Linked DNA regions of Stegostoma tigrinum. The protein of the gene in region 1 interacts with the protein of each later gene in a pairwise test. Links are inferred from orthologs where the notes say so. Each region holds a gene or a part of one and is shown on either strand. Other genes may lie near its edges.

Region 1 (8,220 bases):
AAAGTCATACAATATTATGGAGGGGAAAGCAGACAGCCTTAGTTATTAGAAGCTCATGTTGAAGTCCAATGTGAGTACAGTTACAAATAGTATGACTCCACTTGAGAATAGCCAGGGAGTGGAATGGAACCCGAAGCTGGAGGACAGCAGTTGGGGCTGTGTAGTGATTGGGAAATAGGTTGACATCATTAACAAGGTTCTTCATTGGGGTTATTAACCTGGGCCAATCAGAAAAGATTTAGCTGACCGATATAATCAGGAGATTATAATCTCCTCAATTGAGGATTGACTCAGAGCTGGCTCACTACAGCCAGTGGTACTGTTGTACAGGTAAAATGAAAGGGTAACGTGGTAACAGGACCCAGACTTTGTGACACAAGTTTCAGTGTATGGGTCCAAGATTGAGCTTTCATGTGCTGGACTTTGCCTTCCTGTTTAGAATATGCTTTTGTGTATGCATCATGCCTTTGTATCTTGCTGGTCCATGTGCAGGCCAACCGATAGCCCTAGAATGCGCGCTTATCTATAACATTCTGTACTATTGTTTGAAATGAGATGTTTCTATACGATATTCTAATTCCATGTCTTTGCTCTTTAGCAGCTTGCCTTGATGCATAGGAACTTTGCCACGTATCGTGTTTGATACTCCGTAACCTTATGTGGACTTGAATGTATGTCTACTTGTAATATTTTGTACTACTGTTGCAAATAAGATGTGTTTCTATACGACGTTCTACGTCAACGTCTCTGCTCTTCGACAAAATTTCTTGTTGCCTAGTGACTTTGCCACATGGTGTGTTTAAGTCACTAACTTAATGTGGACTTTGGATTTACTGTTTAAATTCAGATGTCATTGTTTAGGACGTTCTATCCTAAATGTCTCTGCTCTTTGGCAACTTATTTTTATGTATAGTGACTGATGCTATGTAATGTGTTTATGACACTGTATCTTTCTGGTTTTTGAATTTACAAAAAAAAAGCCAGAAAAGAAAATAACCAGGGGCTTGGAATCTTCCCAATTGAGGACTGACTCCGAACTAACTGGCCGCAGCCAGTGGACTATGCAAGAGCAAATAAAAGGGGATTTGGTGATGGCACGCGACTTCTCTGCAGTTATTTCAGGCTGAGTGGAAGACAATAATTAAAGTCTTTTCAACATTCAGTTTGAAAATAAAAAGTTCTACTGAAAGTACTGGATATCATATCATCAGAAAATTTCAAGACAGCAGATGGTAAAAGAGGAAGTGAAGCTGTGTTTTGCCAATGTATATGCAGGAATCTAACACTGTACTTTCACAGAATGTCACAGAGGGGCAGCAAGAGAATAAGAGCAGACCTAGCATAGGTCATTGTTACCTCAGGCTAGCAATGTCAGAATGAGAAAGTAGCCATCGCAGATAATTTTCTGATTATGACTAGATAGATATGTGCAGCCTTTCTAAGTTGGACAACGATAAGCCTATACTTCAACAGTTAACCAGTTTAAAAATTGTAGGGAAAGAGACACTAAAATCATTTCACACAAAAGTTCTTTAGGGGGAATATCCAAAGCCCATTCAACTTTGCTGCTTCCCTCGACCATAAGACTGGCGAGTTGAAAACCACCAAATTAGTCAACTAACAAACATTTCATTTAGCTATCATTAGTATAAAGATTAAAAATTGACTGCTGAAGGTAAATATCATGTCCTCAGATAAAACACGCTATCATTCGCAACTCCTCAGCCTCTGAATGCAACAGGACATGGACATATTCCACAGTTGGGCTGAGAAGTGGCAAGTAACATTTGCACCAGAAATATGCCTAGACAATGCGCATCATCAACAGAGAATCTAACCATCACGCTTCAACATTCAATGGCATTATCATCACTGAATTCTGCACTGCCATCTTGGGGAGTTACCATTGACCAGAGCTGAACTGGGCCAGCAATATAAATATTACGGCTACAACAGCAAGTCAGAGTGAATTTTAAAAAAGTCTTTCCACAGTATATCATAGATTCATCAAATTACAAGAAAAAAATCTGGCTGTTGGCACACATCATGCGTATGTATCAACTTACTAACCACATCTTTTCCCAAACAAGCCAATTATTTCTCGAGGTTGAAAACTACCTGGAGATCTCAATATCTGGACAGACATTTTTTGTGTTCAGCTTAAAAAAATCTTTTAAATTTCCTTTTGTAGCAGGTACAAATTGTGTTTTTTAGATTTATAGCTTCCAACTGACTGGCAAGCTGAAAACCACCAAATTAGTCAACTAACAAACATTTCATTTCGCTACCATTAGTCTAAAGATTAAAAATCGACTGCTCATGGCAAATATCGCGTCCTCAGATAAAACACGGTACATTTTCATGACAGCATTAATCACCTAACAACCAAGAGGATCTTGAATATGAACACTTGTTCCACAATGCTATGCCATGCCTAACCCGTGAAGCCTAAGATGACTCCATTCACTTTTATGATGAATGGACTCTAACTTCAAATAATGCTGACCATGCTAATGTTGATCTTGCCCAGCGCACGCTCAGATTGAAAAGAATAAGCTGGATCACCACGCGTTTCGAGACTATTTCTCTACTCATCACAACTGTTCCCGCACCAGTTGAGGTGACCATGAAGACCCCACCTTTTCCAGCTCGCCCTTTGTCTAAAGTGTGGTAACCCTCAAGTTAAACCACCAGCGGTCGTCTTTTCTATGGTTTGGTAGGACTATGGCAATTTTACTGTTCGCGGTGGCCTGGCTTAATCAAATAAATAGTCGGACAGTGAAATCAATCAACTGCGGCGATCAGAGCATCAAACAAGGTGAACTTTAACAAGATGAAACGAACCTGTCAAACCACCTGGGCAAAACAAAAACGGCCTGTTTTAATCGGACTTGAGCTTCTTGCGGTGAGGACCTGGGGCTGCAGCGGTGCAACACCAAAGGTCAGGGACGACCTTAACCCAGAGGCGGCCCAGCCTCCACCTCAGTCCCGGAGGAGCCCACCCAGTCAGGGCGAGCCCCACCGGGGCTTGGATTACACCGGACCAGACCGGTAACTGCCGGCAACCAGGGTGCAATGGAGACCGAGCGCTTTTCCCGTTCGTTCGTTCACTCACTCACTCAGTCAGTCAGTCAGTCAATCGTTCGCCCCACCGATCTCACCCGCACTGCTCCATCACCGGCCACGCAAAACAACATCCGGGTCAAGCTGTAAACCACCGCCGGGGGAAGGGGAAATGGGTGTAACGGGTAGGTCACGTGACCACCTCCTCCGTTGCGGCGTGGATGAGGTCCGCATCTTGTTGCCAGGGCGTTCGTGCTGGCTGGCGAGTGTGGTGTAGTCGTTAGTCTCCTTGCTTTGCCGTGCTTGAGGCTGTTGGTGCAAGTCTTCGTTTTGGAACTCAGGCACTAAATGCTGGTGCAGTGCTGCAGGGGAGTGAATCTGTCAGAGCTTTCTGTGTCAGACACTAGGAGGAAAATCATGCGATGGAAGCAAAAATAACCATCACTGGACCTGATCAACTCTTACTTTCTCTCCATAGACCGGCTGTGCATCGTACCCCTCAGCAATTTCTGTTTTTGTGTGTGTGTCTGATTTCCAGCATCTGCAGCTTATTCTTGTCCACTATTGAAAGGTCTGTCCCTACCCTTCAATGCACCCCACCCTCGCTAATTGTAGAGTAATGCCACAGAAATGTCGGCATGTTCAAGCATCACTCAATCATGATATTTTTTTCTGGGGCGGATAAAGCTAAATGCTTACCCGAATTCAATCATTGCCTTGCCTTGTGCCAAATACAAACTTATAGGCATCCATGAAAGATGATATCCCTGGATACACACCCTGGGTACCGAGGAGAAGCTACTTTGCTTCTACTGGGGTAACCGTAGCCTGCTCTCTCTTCATGGTTTTCATTTTTGCAGATTATGGTGTAAAAACAAATGGGACCCAAGACCAGGCAGTAAGAGCTGCCTGTATGCTCATTTAGATACATGATCCCAAGACCTGCCAATTGCTTCCTGCAGAAGTGCTGTGTTCCCTGCACTCAATGTACGAGCAAGGGTGGCTGCTGAGCACCCCTTGTCGAGTAAGCCATCAACCTAGAGTGTACATATGTTTTCTCCTACAAATACACACCATAGAAAACTTTTACCCAATATGATTCATGATCTGTGTGTGCCACCCATCTCAGTACCTGTTTACAGCATATTTATTTGCTTAAAATAATATTTCAAATTATCCAGATTGCTTTCAATAGTTATCTGGAGGTTGATGCTAAATGTAGGAGACAACTGGCTGTTCTACGAGGGCCTTTCAATCAGGTTTTCACCTAAAGATTTCATTTTCCCTCAGTTAAACGTAAAGCATCCCACTATTTTTTTCAAAGAAGAGTGACAGCATTCTCACCAGTGGCCAAGCCAATATAAGACAACAAGACATAGAAGCTGAAGTAGCCCAGTCAACCCTTCAAGTCCTCCTTTCAATTCATTTTCCTACCTTATTTCCAAAATCCTTGGTTGCCTTGCATCAAGAAATTCCATAGATTTACCACCCTCTGGGAGAATAAAATCTATCTAATTTCTGTCGTAAATGGGCAACGCTGAACACTAAGATTATGCACTCAGTTCCTTGACATTCCTACAAGGGGAAACAACTTGTGTGCATCTACCCTCGCAAGTCCTTTCTAATTCTTCTAAACTGCAATGAGTACAAGCCCAAGCTACTCCAGCTCACTTCATATGAAAATGTCTCCCTACACCAGATCAACCTGGGGAACCTTCTTTGGACTGCCTCCAATGCTAATATATCTTTCCTTACATAAAAGGCCTAAAAATATTCAAATTATAAACAGTTTCTTAAAAGAAGGAAAGAGAGACAGAGAAATTTATGGACAGATTCCCAGAGTTTTACTATGACCTGAGCAGCTGAAGGGGCTGCCAATAGTAGTGCTGGTAAATTTGTGAATATGTAAATTGAACAGGTATTTTATCACGTTGTATTGCTGATGGAAGTAACAAAGATATGAGGAAGCAAGGAAATGGGTAGACTTTGGAAACAATGATGGCTATTTTAAATTCAAGGTGTTGCTCAACCCAGTGTAAATCAGCTCCATCCGGGATAATGAAGGAGCAAGGCCTGTTGCAGTTTGGGACATTGGCTGCTGGCTTAGGATTTAAGTTTAAATGGAAGAGAATGAACATTGTGTACTGTAGAGGTAACAAAGGCATGTAAAAGACTTCTGCGGTATGTGACAATGCTATCAGTTTAAAAAGGTTATTTTGCTCTTAGTTTTTTTGAAGAGAGGTTGTAAAGGTAGAAGTACAGAAGAGACCAGGAAGTAACAGTTAGAAGGGTTATGGCCGATTACCCAGTTCACGTTTTTTTCTGAACTTTTTTCGCTGTGGCAGTCACAAAATGTTTTGATTAGCAGAGGGTTGCAAGCTTCAGTAAATTATTCTAAGCAGACTTTCTCTGGAATCTCTCTGGCTGTTGTTCCCTCCTGCCAGTGCGATCTGTGTTTGAATTTACCTTTTTGCCAAGGAGTGTGTTTATGCAATGTTACTATATTGGAACAGCTATTTGTTAAGTTACTGTATTGAGTATTTGGTTAAGTTTTCCTATATTTAAGTTATTCTAAATTCTACTTTCTTTTGTTCATGTTTTAACTGTAGTGTTTTAATAAATTGTGTTTTGCTTTAAGCCAAGTGGTTTGACCAGTTACATCACAGCTGGAACACCCACTTTACATCCACCTTTAAAATAAGGAAAAGTTAGGATCTAGGCTACCTTCTAAAATATTTTGAGGGGGTCTGGCCTGGTCCATAACAGGTTGGGGCCTCTTGTCAGGATAATTCTATAATTCCAGTTTGGCTTTAGGGTTGTTAGACTCAAAGGTGGGAAGTGGTAGGGGTTTGTGTCTTTTGTTTCAGGTGGTGAATTTGGTTGGTTCAAACAGTGCTTTGTGTGGTAATGCCTCTTTCAGTCACTAGGAGTTCTCCGGAGGTAGAAGAAGTTACTTTGGGAGATTCACAACAGGTGAGCAAGGCAAAGTTGTTGGAATTGGCAGACAAGCTGTATTTGGGGTTGTCTTTACAAGAAAAGGAGAGATCATTACAGCAACAGCTTGATATTTAAGTTTGCAGGAAATGTCATTGGAATCTTTGGAAATGGCTAGAATTCAATTGCAGATGAAGCAGCTTGAACTGAAATAATTTGAATTATGGTTGAAAACAGAAGAAAGAGAAAAGGAAAGAATCACTCTGGCAGAACAAATAGAAAAGGAGAGAAAGGCTCTAGTAGAAGAAAGAGAGAGAGTTTGAACTTTAGAAGTTGGCAGTTAGACAGGAAACTTGACATAGAAAGATGGAGGTGAAGGTAGCAGGTAGGCTTAGTGAGGAAGGTAGTGACGTGGAGCAAACCCATTGTAGCCAAAGGCCTGGTGGGAAATATGTTTAAATATATCCAAGCATTGCTTGAATTTGACGAGAAGAATGTAGAAGCCTTTCTCATCTCATTTGAGAAAGTGGTTAAACAAACAAAGTGGCCAATGACCATGTGGGCTTTAATGCAAACAAAGTTGGTAGGTGAAACAAAAGAGGTATGTGTGAAATATGTACAAGCTTATGAATATCACTTTTAGGTGTTGGATTTTAAGATAGTGACCTCCTTTTATGAAGTTTTTTTTGAAGAAAGTTAGTTGAGGCAGTGTTTTTTGAACAGTGATCTAATCCAGTGTGTGTCAGAGAGCAGGAATGCCGTGAAGAGTTGATGGAAAATTGTTTGTACTGGGGTGGTTTACGGCAGGTAGAGTAATCACTGAAGGCATTGAAGCTTGTTTTCAGTTTAGGATAATCAAGGATTGATTTTTGTTTCAGAAAACCCAGACATTAAAGGCAGAATCTTCCCAGTTCCTGAAAGTCAGGGCATTGACAAGAATTTTGAGTAAAGCAGGTGAGATAGGCAGTGATGAGATCCACAATGTCAGCAGGAAAATGTCTGATCCTCCAACAATTGTCTCTAACCTTCCTATACATTGTAGAGCCTTTTGTGCTACATGCCATTTCCCTCAGAGGAACAAGGTGCAGTTTTGCTGCAGATTGAGGATATCTCAGGATACTGTCACAGAACTATGACAAATGTGGGAATTGAAGCTGCAGCACTTTTTTCTTAATATATTCACAGAATTAAGGCATTTCTGGCTGGGCTTGCAGTTATTGTCCAGACAGCAGTGAAGAGCCAACCACATTACAGTGAGTCTGGAGTTATATGTAGGCTAGACCAGGTAAGGATGGCAGTTTCCTTCCCTGAAGGGCATTAGTGAACCAGATAGGTTCAACGATTGACAATGGATTCATGATCATCGTTAGACTCTAAAATCCAGATTTTTTTTATTGAATAAGAACTCCACCATCTGCCGTGGGAGGTTTCGAAATCGGGTTCCCAGTACATTACCTGGGCCTCTGAATTAACAGTCCAGCAATAACACCGCTGAGCAATTGCCTTCTTTTGTGTGGATGCTAAACTTGCTCGTAACTGGCCACTGAGGAGCCACTGAGAATCTGTATGGGCACCTAACAACCTTTGATCCACAAATGTATTAAGATTCTTACTGATCACACTGTTTTATCTCATTTACCAATGATAAGGTCAGTACTACAGCCCGGACAGTAGACTTTGGCAACATATCTGGCATCCTCCAGGTGCAGAACACTATAGATTGTACACATGTTGCATTGAGAGTGCCATATCATAACATGGTTTGCTTCATTATGAGAAAAGACTTACGTTCGATTAATGTGCAGGTCATCTGTGACCATCAATACCACACCTTAGAATTCTGCATCATGATGCATGTATTCTTGAGAAGTCTTATTTCCTGCTTCATTCCAAGGGCTGAATGCATAACAAAGATGCTTACTGGGAGACAAGTACTGCCTTCTGCAACCATTGCTAATTATTTCATTACATAGTCCCGTAACTGAGGCCAAACATAGATACAACGCAGCCCATTCTTCTATCAGGGTCAACTTGGAGCAGATGATACATTTGTTGAAGATGATGTCCCAATGTTTGGATTGTTCTGCAGGGCTTTTCTGTACACTCCAGAAAGGGTGTGCTGCATAATCTTAGCATGGTGTGCTTTGTGCAACTGGGACAGGGCAATAAGCAGATGGGCCCGACGCTGAAAAACTGAAAGAGCAGGAGCAGTATTCAGAACAG
Region 2 (8,650 bases), on another chromosome or scaffold:
TATAAACGACCTGGATGAGGGCATAGAAGGATGGGTTAGTAAATTTGCAGACGACACTAAGGTCGGTGGAGTTGTGGATAGTGACGAAGGATGCTGTAGGTTGCAGAGAGACATAGATAAGCTGCAGAGCTGGGCTGAGAGGTGGCAAATGGAGTTTAATGCAGACAAGTGTGAGGTGATGCACTTTGGTAGGAGTAACCAGAAGGCAAAGTACAGGGCTAATGGTAAGATTCTTAGCAGTGTAGATGAGCAGAGAGATCTCGGTGTCCATGTACACAGATCCTTGAAAATTGCCACCCAGGTTGACGGGGTTGTTAAGAAGGCATACAGTGTTTTAGCTTTTATTAATAGAGGGATCGAGTTCCGGAACCAAGAGGTTATGGTGAAGCCGTACAAAACTCTGGTGCGGCCACACTTGGAGTATTGTATACAGTTCAGGTCACCGCATTATAAGAAGGATGTGGAAGCTTTGGAAAGGGTGCAGAGGAGATTTACTAGGATGTTGCCTGGTATGGAGGGAAGATCTTACGAGGAAAGGCTGAGGGACTTGAGGCTGTTTTCATTAGAGAGAAGGTTGAGAGGTGACTTAACTGAAACATATAAAATAATCAGAGGGTTAGATAGGGTGGATAGGGAGAGCCTTTTTCCTAGGATGGTGACGGCAAGTACGAGGGGGCATAGCTTTAAATTGAGGGGTGAAAGATATAGGAAGATGTCAGAGGTAGTTTCTTTACCTCAACGGTAGTAGATTCGCCAACTTTAGGTACATTTAAGTTGGCATTGGGCAAGCATATGGACGTACATGGAATAGTGTAGGTTAGATGGGCTTGAGATCGGTATGACAGGTCGGCACAGCATCGAGGGCTGAAGGGCCTGTACTGTGCCGTAATGTTCTATGTACCTGGCCCTGCACTCATCCCTGGAATACGTGGTCAACAAGGATATCTATGTCAGGCTACTATTATCCAAACCTTTTCATTTGTATTCATCTGGTACAAATACAGGAATGCCAAACACCAAACGACCAAATGAATTTACGTTACAGAAAAAAAAGGAGCTTGCAAGCCAACTCTGCCTGAGGCATTGCTGTGGAGAAAGAAAAGGAGTACAATAGTTTCCCCAAGCCCATGGTTGGTTCAAGTAAGACCCAGTATGGACCATATTCCTTTTAGCTGTATACATAATGAGACCCTACATATTAATCTAAGTCACTTCTAGAAACCACAACAATGCACTAGTGAACTACCCCCAGAGAAGCAGATACTCCATCATCAAGTCACCATTTACCTGCGGAGAGTTACAGAATCATGGAGTTATAGAGATATGCAGCATGAAAACAGCCCCTTTGGTCCAACTCACCAGATATCCTAAAACAATCAAGTCCCATTTGCAAGCATTTGGCCCATATCCCACCAAACTTTTCCTATTCATGTAACCATCCAGATGCCCTTTCAATGTTGTAATTGTACCAGCCTCCACCACCTTCTCTGGCAGTTCATTCCTCTGAAAAAGTTGGGCCTCCACCCTGGGGAAAAGATCTGGGCTATTCACCATAGTCGATGCCCCTCATGATTTTATAAACTTATATAAGGTGACCGCTCAGCTTCTGACACTCCAGGGAAATTAGCCCCAGGTATTCACTTGGCTCTGATTCAGCTACCGCAGAGTGAACAGGATGTCAAGGGTCTCGGCCTGAAACGTCAGCTTTTGTGCTCCTGAGATGCTGCTTGGCCTGCTGTGTTCATCCAGTTCCACACTTTGTTATCTAGGATGTCTGACACTCCTGGTTCTTATCTGTCAGCCACGGCTCCCAAATTAACAGCCCTGATCTGTCCATCTGGCTGACCTCATTACAATCACCACAGCCTGGTCTGAAACATGATGTTACATAATTGTGTAGCAGGCAGAAAGTTTTTTCTGGATTTATTGCAATATCCTGCAAGCAAGAAATACCAATTGTGTGACTTTTGCATAGTAATAGCTTGCTTAAATCACATTTGGAGATACTTTGTTTTCCAGGTTAATTTGCAGCGGACTAGGTACTTCTGGAGGTCCAAAGTTAGGGACCTATGGCCTATTTATGTCACTACTAGAGAGGATACATATGTTAATGTTAAAGGCTCCATTGATTATTTAAAGTTGGCTGCTGGTGTAGCTATTAATGCTACACTAATTATCAGTTTGCATGATACATAGCAAACAACACCCTGATCAGGATGACCACTGCCCCAAAGAGAAGCATTGGTGCACTAATGGCATACTGCATCCATTGTACACGATGTGGCTTCCTCTACATTGGGGAAACCAAGGGGAGGCTTGGGGACCGCTTTGCGGAACACTTCCGCTCGGTTAGCAATAGACAAATGCACTTCCCAGTCGCGAACCATTTTAGCTCCCCCTCCCATTCCTTAGACGAAATGTCCATCCTGGGCCTCCTGCGGTGCCATAATGATGCCACCTGAAGGTTGCAGGAACAGCAGCTCATATTCCGCTTGGGAACCCTGCAGCCCAATGGTATCAATGTGGACTTCACAAGCTTCAAAATCTCCTCTTCCCCCACTGTATCCCAGAACCAGCCCAACTCGTTCCCTCCCGCCACTGCATCCCAAAACCAGCCCAGCTCGTCCTCGCATCCCTAACCAGTTCTTCCTCTCACCTATCCCCTCCTCCCACATCACGCTGCACCTCCATTTTCCACCTACTAACCTCATCCTGCCTCCTTGACCTGTCCGTCCTCCCCGGACTGACCGATCCACACCCCCGCACCCCCTCCTCCCCCCCGCCACCTATACTCGCTTCTCCACCCATCTTCTCCTCTATCCATCTTCAGTCTCCCTCCCCCTCTCTCCCTATTTATTTCAGAACCCTCTCCTCATCCCCTTTTCTGATGAAGGGTCTAGGCCCAAAACGCCAGCTCTCCTGCTGCTAAGATGCTGCTCGGCCTGCTGTGTTCATCCAGCCCCACACTTTGTTACTTTGATGCACTATTATCAGTTATGTTGGCCCTACATTCCCAGTGATCAGGTGATCAAATCAAACTACATGTTCCTTTAATAGTTCTTTATTGACACATTGCAGGATGCTCTTGCAAACAAAGTATCAGTTAAATGTAATTCAGCCAGTACTGCCCAACTGCAGAACTTTCCTGTACATTAATGGCTACACTAACAGCCAATATAAAATAATCAATGGAGCCTTTACCATTATTATAGAGACTTGTGTACACTCTCTTGCAGTGCCATACATTCAAAGCGATCCATTCTCTACACAAAGAAGGATTATGTTTATGCATTGACTTCCCCCCAGCCCCCCACCCCAGAAAAGTCACCTGGAACTTAGGGAGTCTATAGCCCCTCTTGTTTTCTCCACGGCAATGCCTCAAAGGTCAATTTGTAAACCAATCAGAAGCCCTTCCTCCTGCAGTATAAATTGTTGTGCTCATTTGAAATTTGGCAAACTTGTGTTTGTCCTGATGAGCACAAGAAAAACACTTCAGTAACACGCTTTTCTTTTCAATAATCTCTTCAGTCCGAGGGTTGTAAACCTTTATTATTCTCAACCAAAAGGAGTTGAGGATGCTCCATTATTATATGCAGGTAGATAAACAGTTGTTTAATTTACCAGGGAATCAAGAGATACCAGGAGAGAACAGGAATGGGACAAATCTGCTGAGAATGTATTCAAAGGCACAGCAGGATCAAGGGGCCAAGTGATCTGCTTCTGCTTCTATTCAGTATAGTCTTAAAGAACAATTGTGTAACTGCTGCTCTGTACTCTGGCACAAACATTAAAAGGGGAAGAAGGACTTCCAAGTAATATTTTAAATGAGTTGTAATCAACTGTACTATACAAAACTTTAGTTACCCCACACTTGGAATACTATGTCATTTTGGTTGCCACACAATAGGAATAATGTGGAGAGGATGTAAAAAAAAAAAAAGAGGTTCACCAGGATGTTGCCTGGACTGGATTGCATTAGCTATAAGGAGAGCGTGGACAAACTTAGACTCATGAGAGTATCGGAGACTGAAGGACAACCTGATAGGATATAAATTTATGAGAGGCATGGGTAGGGTGGAGAGTCAGAGTCTTTAATCGAGGGTGGAAATATCAAATGCTAGGGTTTAAAAGTAAGTTGAGAAAAGTTCAGAAAGGAGATGTGCACGGAAAGTTTATTTTAGAAAAATCTAGAGGACAGTACACGCCCAGAATGTGCTGCCGGGGAGCTAGTAGGGGATTAGATAGTAATGCTTAAGAGGCATTTAGACAGACGCATAGACAGGAAGAAACAAATGCATATGGACCATGTGCAGGCAGGTCAGATTTCCTTAGAATGATATAAAGGTTGGCACAGAGGGTAGAGCGAAGAGTCTGTTTTTGTGCTGTACTCTTCTGTGCTCTGTGTTCTATGTTTTATGAATTACAGCCTCTGTCATTTCCGTTATCAGATCTCAGTAATTGGCTGATGGAGGTGGGGTGGCACCATGCAGCTCTAACTGCACGGCAACAAGGAACAGGAGCAAAGTTTTTACAAAAAGCTCCTGATACACCTCAAAAATTGCATGCCATATAGACATCATATAAGATATTGATCAAATTAAATGACTAAATATCTTCTAAAAATAGCTGAAAAGGGCAGCCCTGAAGAAAAATCAGAACTGGGTAAACAGCTGTAAAACACACAGACTATATAAACATAGTAAATACAATTTGTAAAATATCCAAATATCATCAGCACTGTGAAGGATTCTCCCAAGGGCTCTTGCCAAATGACTTTATTTATATTTCTTTAAACTAAATCGTGCTTTGCTGTTGGATGCAACTTTGAAAGCAACACTGAAGGGTCTAGGCCTGAAACGTCAGCTTTTGTGCTCCTAAGATGCGCTTGCCTGCTGTGTTCGTCCAGCTCCACACCTTGTTCACTCCAATTCTGTGCATGCGCACACAGTGGTATTATCATAAACATGACACCCATGAGAGAAAACAAGAAACATGCGGCACCAAGTTGCCCACAGTAATACCATAACCAGATAACGTGTTCATTCTGTATTGTCAATTGAGGGATAAATATTGACCAGGATCTCAGAGAAAGGTCTTCTGCTCCTTGAAACAGTGCCTTTGGACCTTGTACATCTAACTGTAAGGGGAAACTGGGCTTCAGTTTAACATCACACTTGAAGACGGTATCACTGACACCCCTCAGTACAGCTTTGGAGCACGAGCATAGGTAATTATGCTTGAGTGTCCGCCCCAGTTGCCTCTGAGTCACAATGTTCCAGGTTCAAATTCCACGTCAGGACCAGTGCACAACAAAAAACAAATCTGATACATCAGTGTTAAGTGAACTCGGCACTGCCAGGGCATCAGCCTTTTCAACAAAACATTCAACTGAGGACCGTCTGTCTGCTCCGTGGCCATAAAAAAAATCTCATGACACTGTAAGTACTGCCCAATGTTTATTCTCCAAAAAACACTACAAACGCATATTAACTGGTCATTATCATACTATGTTGAGGGTTTGCTGTGAGCACGTTAGCGTGTTTCCTACACTACAACAGCGACTACAAATGTTCAAAAAGCAATTTACTGGTTGCACAGCCCTTTAAGGGTCATGGAAAGCGTTATACAATTAAAAGACAATCTCTGGAGCGAACCTGACTCAGGGGATCAAAGCGTGACAAATAAGTCAAGGCAAGACATTCAAAAGGAAGACCTACAACAGTGGAGGGGTGGGGTGAGATGAATACGCAAAGCTAAGAACCAGACTGTTTAACTGCGAGTTTATACACGCCCGAAACGTCGTTATTTAAAACTATAATAAGGTTACGGGAGAGCTACTGGCTGCGTCAGACTGACTGAATCCACCGGAGCACTTTACTATTGAACAGGGGTGGAGCAGCATGACGAAAACACAGTTCAACTCCAAATTCGGCCGTTTAAAAGCAACGTTAAACTCCGCGCAAATATTCCAAAAGTTAGGACATTTGTACCTTTGCGTTTCTCTCGAGCCAAATCTATAGACTGCACGTGGAGAGAGTGCACTCCTGCTTAAAGGATACAATAATTACTGTAATAATAGCAGTTTCAGAGTAGCAGTCCGACGCTAAGAAATTACCCGCTGCTGGTCACGAAGTTGTTACAATGTCTCTCAATCAGGGTCAACATTCCATTCGCCCCAGCGCCCATCCCCTTGTAAGACTATCTGAACACTTCAGGGATCCCACGGGGAACGTCAAAGTTAAAACGCATTTATCCACAGCAAATGCTAAGTGAAAAATAACAACTCTTGTCTAGTCGTAGCTTCAGTGTGCGCCAAGAAGTTCCTGAAAGCTTAGGAGGTACCTCGCAGCTGTCAATGTTCAGCTGCTTTGCTAACGGCGTGTCCGGTGCTGCCTCCTGCAGTCCTGGATGCTCGACAAACGAAGCGTGGCGAAAGAGGCGAGTCTCCCTGCAGCTCCCCGCCCCGAGTAGACTTTTGGATGAGAAGATTTTTTTTAAAAAAACAAAAAGTGTTGGAGAAACTTGTGGGGCGAGACAGGATCACTATGACTTCTCAGTTCTCGGGCTCAATGGGAGTTGAAACGTTAACTTTGTTTCTCTCTCTTCACAAATGCTGCCACACTTCGAGTTTCTCCAGCACATTCTGTTTTTATTTCAGTTTTCCCGCATCCACGGTGTCTTGCTTTTAAACAAGCACAGAGCATGCTGGAGAAACTGGCAGCATCTGTGGACATAGAAACAAGGTTAATGTTTTAAGTCTGGTATGACTTCTTCAGAACTGGTGTTTTGTTCCATTTAAGTGTTTAATTTCCTTAAACCAGCGCGCCCCCCCCCCTCTTATTATAAGAGGGACATCACGTAGAGTGATGAAGAGGTGTACAGCGCAGAAACAGACACTTCAATTCAACTCGTCCACTCCACACCACATTCGTCCAAATGTCTTTTAAATGGTGTAATTGTACTGGCCTCTACCACATCTTCTGGCACTGTGTGAAAATGTCGCCCTTTAGGTCCGTTTAAAATCTTAGCGCTCTCACGTTAAACCTGTGCCCTCCAGTTTTTGGACTCCCCTGCCTTGGGAAAAAGTCCTTGGCTATTCACGCTCCTGGCACTCCTCACGATTCTGTAAACCTCTATAAGCTCACCCCTCAGTCTCAGATGCACCAGGGAAAATAGCCCCAGCCTTCAGTCTCAGCAACATCCTTGTAATTTTTTTCTGAAGCCTTTCAAACTTGGCAAAATCTTTCCTATAACAGGGAGACCAGAATTAAATGCAGTATTCCTGAAGTGGCCTAAACAATGGCCTGTACAACTGTAACATGACCTCCCAACTTCTTTACTTGATGCACTAACCAGTAAAGGTAATCATACCACACACCTTCATTATTCTATTTACCTTCAACTCAAATTTTAAGGAGCTACGATCCTGCACTCCAAGATAACTTTGTTTAGCAACAGTCCCCAGGACCTTATCATTAAGCGCATAATTCTTGCCCTGATTTGCCTTTCCAAAATGCAGCACATCACATTTATCTAAATTAAACTCCATCTGCCATTCCTCAACCCATAGGCCCATCTGATCAAGATCCCGTTGTACACTGAGGTAACCTTCTTCGCTGGCCTCGAAACCTCCAATTTTGGTGTCACCTGCAAACCTGTTCACCATATCTCCTACCTTCACATCGAAATTGTTTATATAAACGTCAAAAATCAGTGGAAGCAGCACTGATCCATATGACAACCCGCTGGTCATAGGTCTCCAGTCTGAAAAGCAACTTTCCAACTTCACTCTCTGCCTTCTGCCTTCGAGAGTTCTGTATCCAAACGGCTAGATCTCCAGATATTCTAAACTTGCTAACCAGTCTACCATGAAGAACCTTGTCGAACACCTTACTGAAGTCCATAGAGATCATGTCCAACTCTTTGTTACTTCTTCAAAAACCTCAATCAAGTTAGTAAGACACAATTTTCCACGCACAAAGCCATGTTGAAGATCCCTAATCACACCTTGACCTTCCAAATACATGTAAATGTCTCTCAGAATCCCTTCCAGCAACTTGTCCATCACTAACTTTAAGCTCACTGATAGATAGTTCTTTTGCTTTTCCTTACCAACTTTCTTAAATAATCGCTCGATGTTAGCCACAGTTTGGTCTTCCGGCAGTACAACTGTGACTATTGAAGACACATAGATATCTCAGCAAGGGTCTTAGCAATCAATTCCCTAGCTTCCCACAAAGCTCTGGGATGCACATAATCAGGTCCCAGGGATTAATTTCACCTTTATGCTTTGATGTGATTTGATTTAATGTTGTCACATGTACCAAAGTACAGTGAAAAGTTTTGTTTTGCGAGCAGTACAGGGTGATCATAGCAAACAAGGACATATAGATCAGAGGCTGCTTAGACAGAGCAAGGAATACAAGGTTGTGGCTGCACAGGAAGTGCACAAAGCAAACATTTTAAGACATCCAGTACCTCCTCTTCTATAATATGGGCACTTTTCAACATAATTCTATTTATTTCCCCAAGTTCCCTAGCTCCTTCTCCACAGTAAATACTGGTGCCAAATATTAATTTAGTTTCTTACCCATTTCTTGTGGTTCACCACGTACACAGCCTTGCTGATCTTTAAGGGGCCCTTTTCTCT

The links. The genes of interacting proteins can lie anywhere in the genome.
Region 2: the proteins of exoc2 (region 1) and ras-related protein O-RAL interact in a two-hybrid assay, tested with the Homo sapiens proteins (2 studies listed by BioGRID). The link is inferred for Stegostoma tigrinum from reciprocal best matches to the Homo sapiens genes EXOC2 and RALB.

What each region holds. Positions count from the first base shown.
Region 1 is NC_081355.1:15,617,191-15,625,410, reverse strand, and holds the start of exoc2 (exocyst complex component 2), read right to left. Parts: upstream 3,219-8,220; 5' UTR 3,162-3,218; exon of another isoform or gene 3,120-3,161; intron 3,073-3,119; exon of another isoform or gene 2,845-3,072; intron 1-2,844. UniProt on the Homo sapiens protein: Component of the exocyst complex involved in the docking of exocytic vesicles with fusion sites on the plasma membrane.
Region 2 is NC_081360.1:89,329,733-89,338,382, reverse strand, and holds the start of ras-related protein O-RAL, read left to right. Parts: upstream 1-5,337; 5' UTR 5,338-5,438; intron 5,439-5,990; exon of another isoform or gene 5,991-6,349; intron 6,350-8,650. UniProt on the Homo sapiens protein: Multifunctional GTPase involved in a variety of cellular processes including gene expression, cell migration, cell proliferation, oncogenic transformation and membrane trafficking.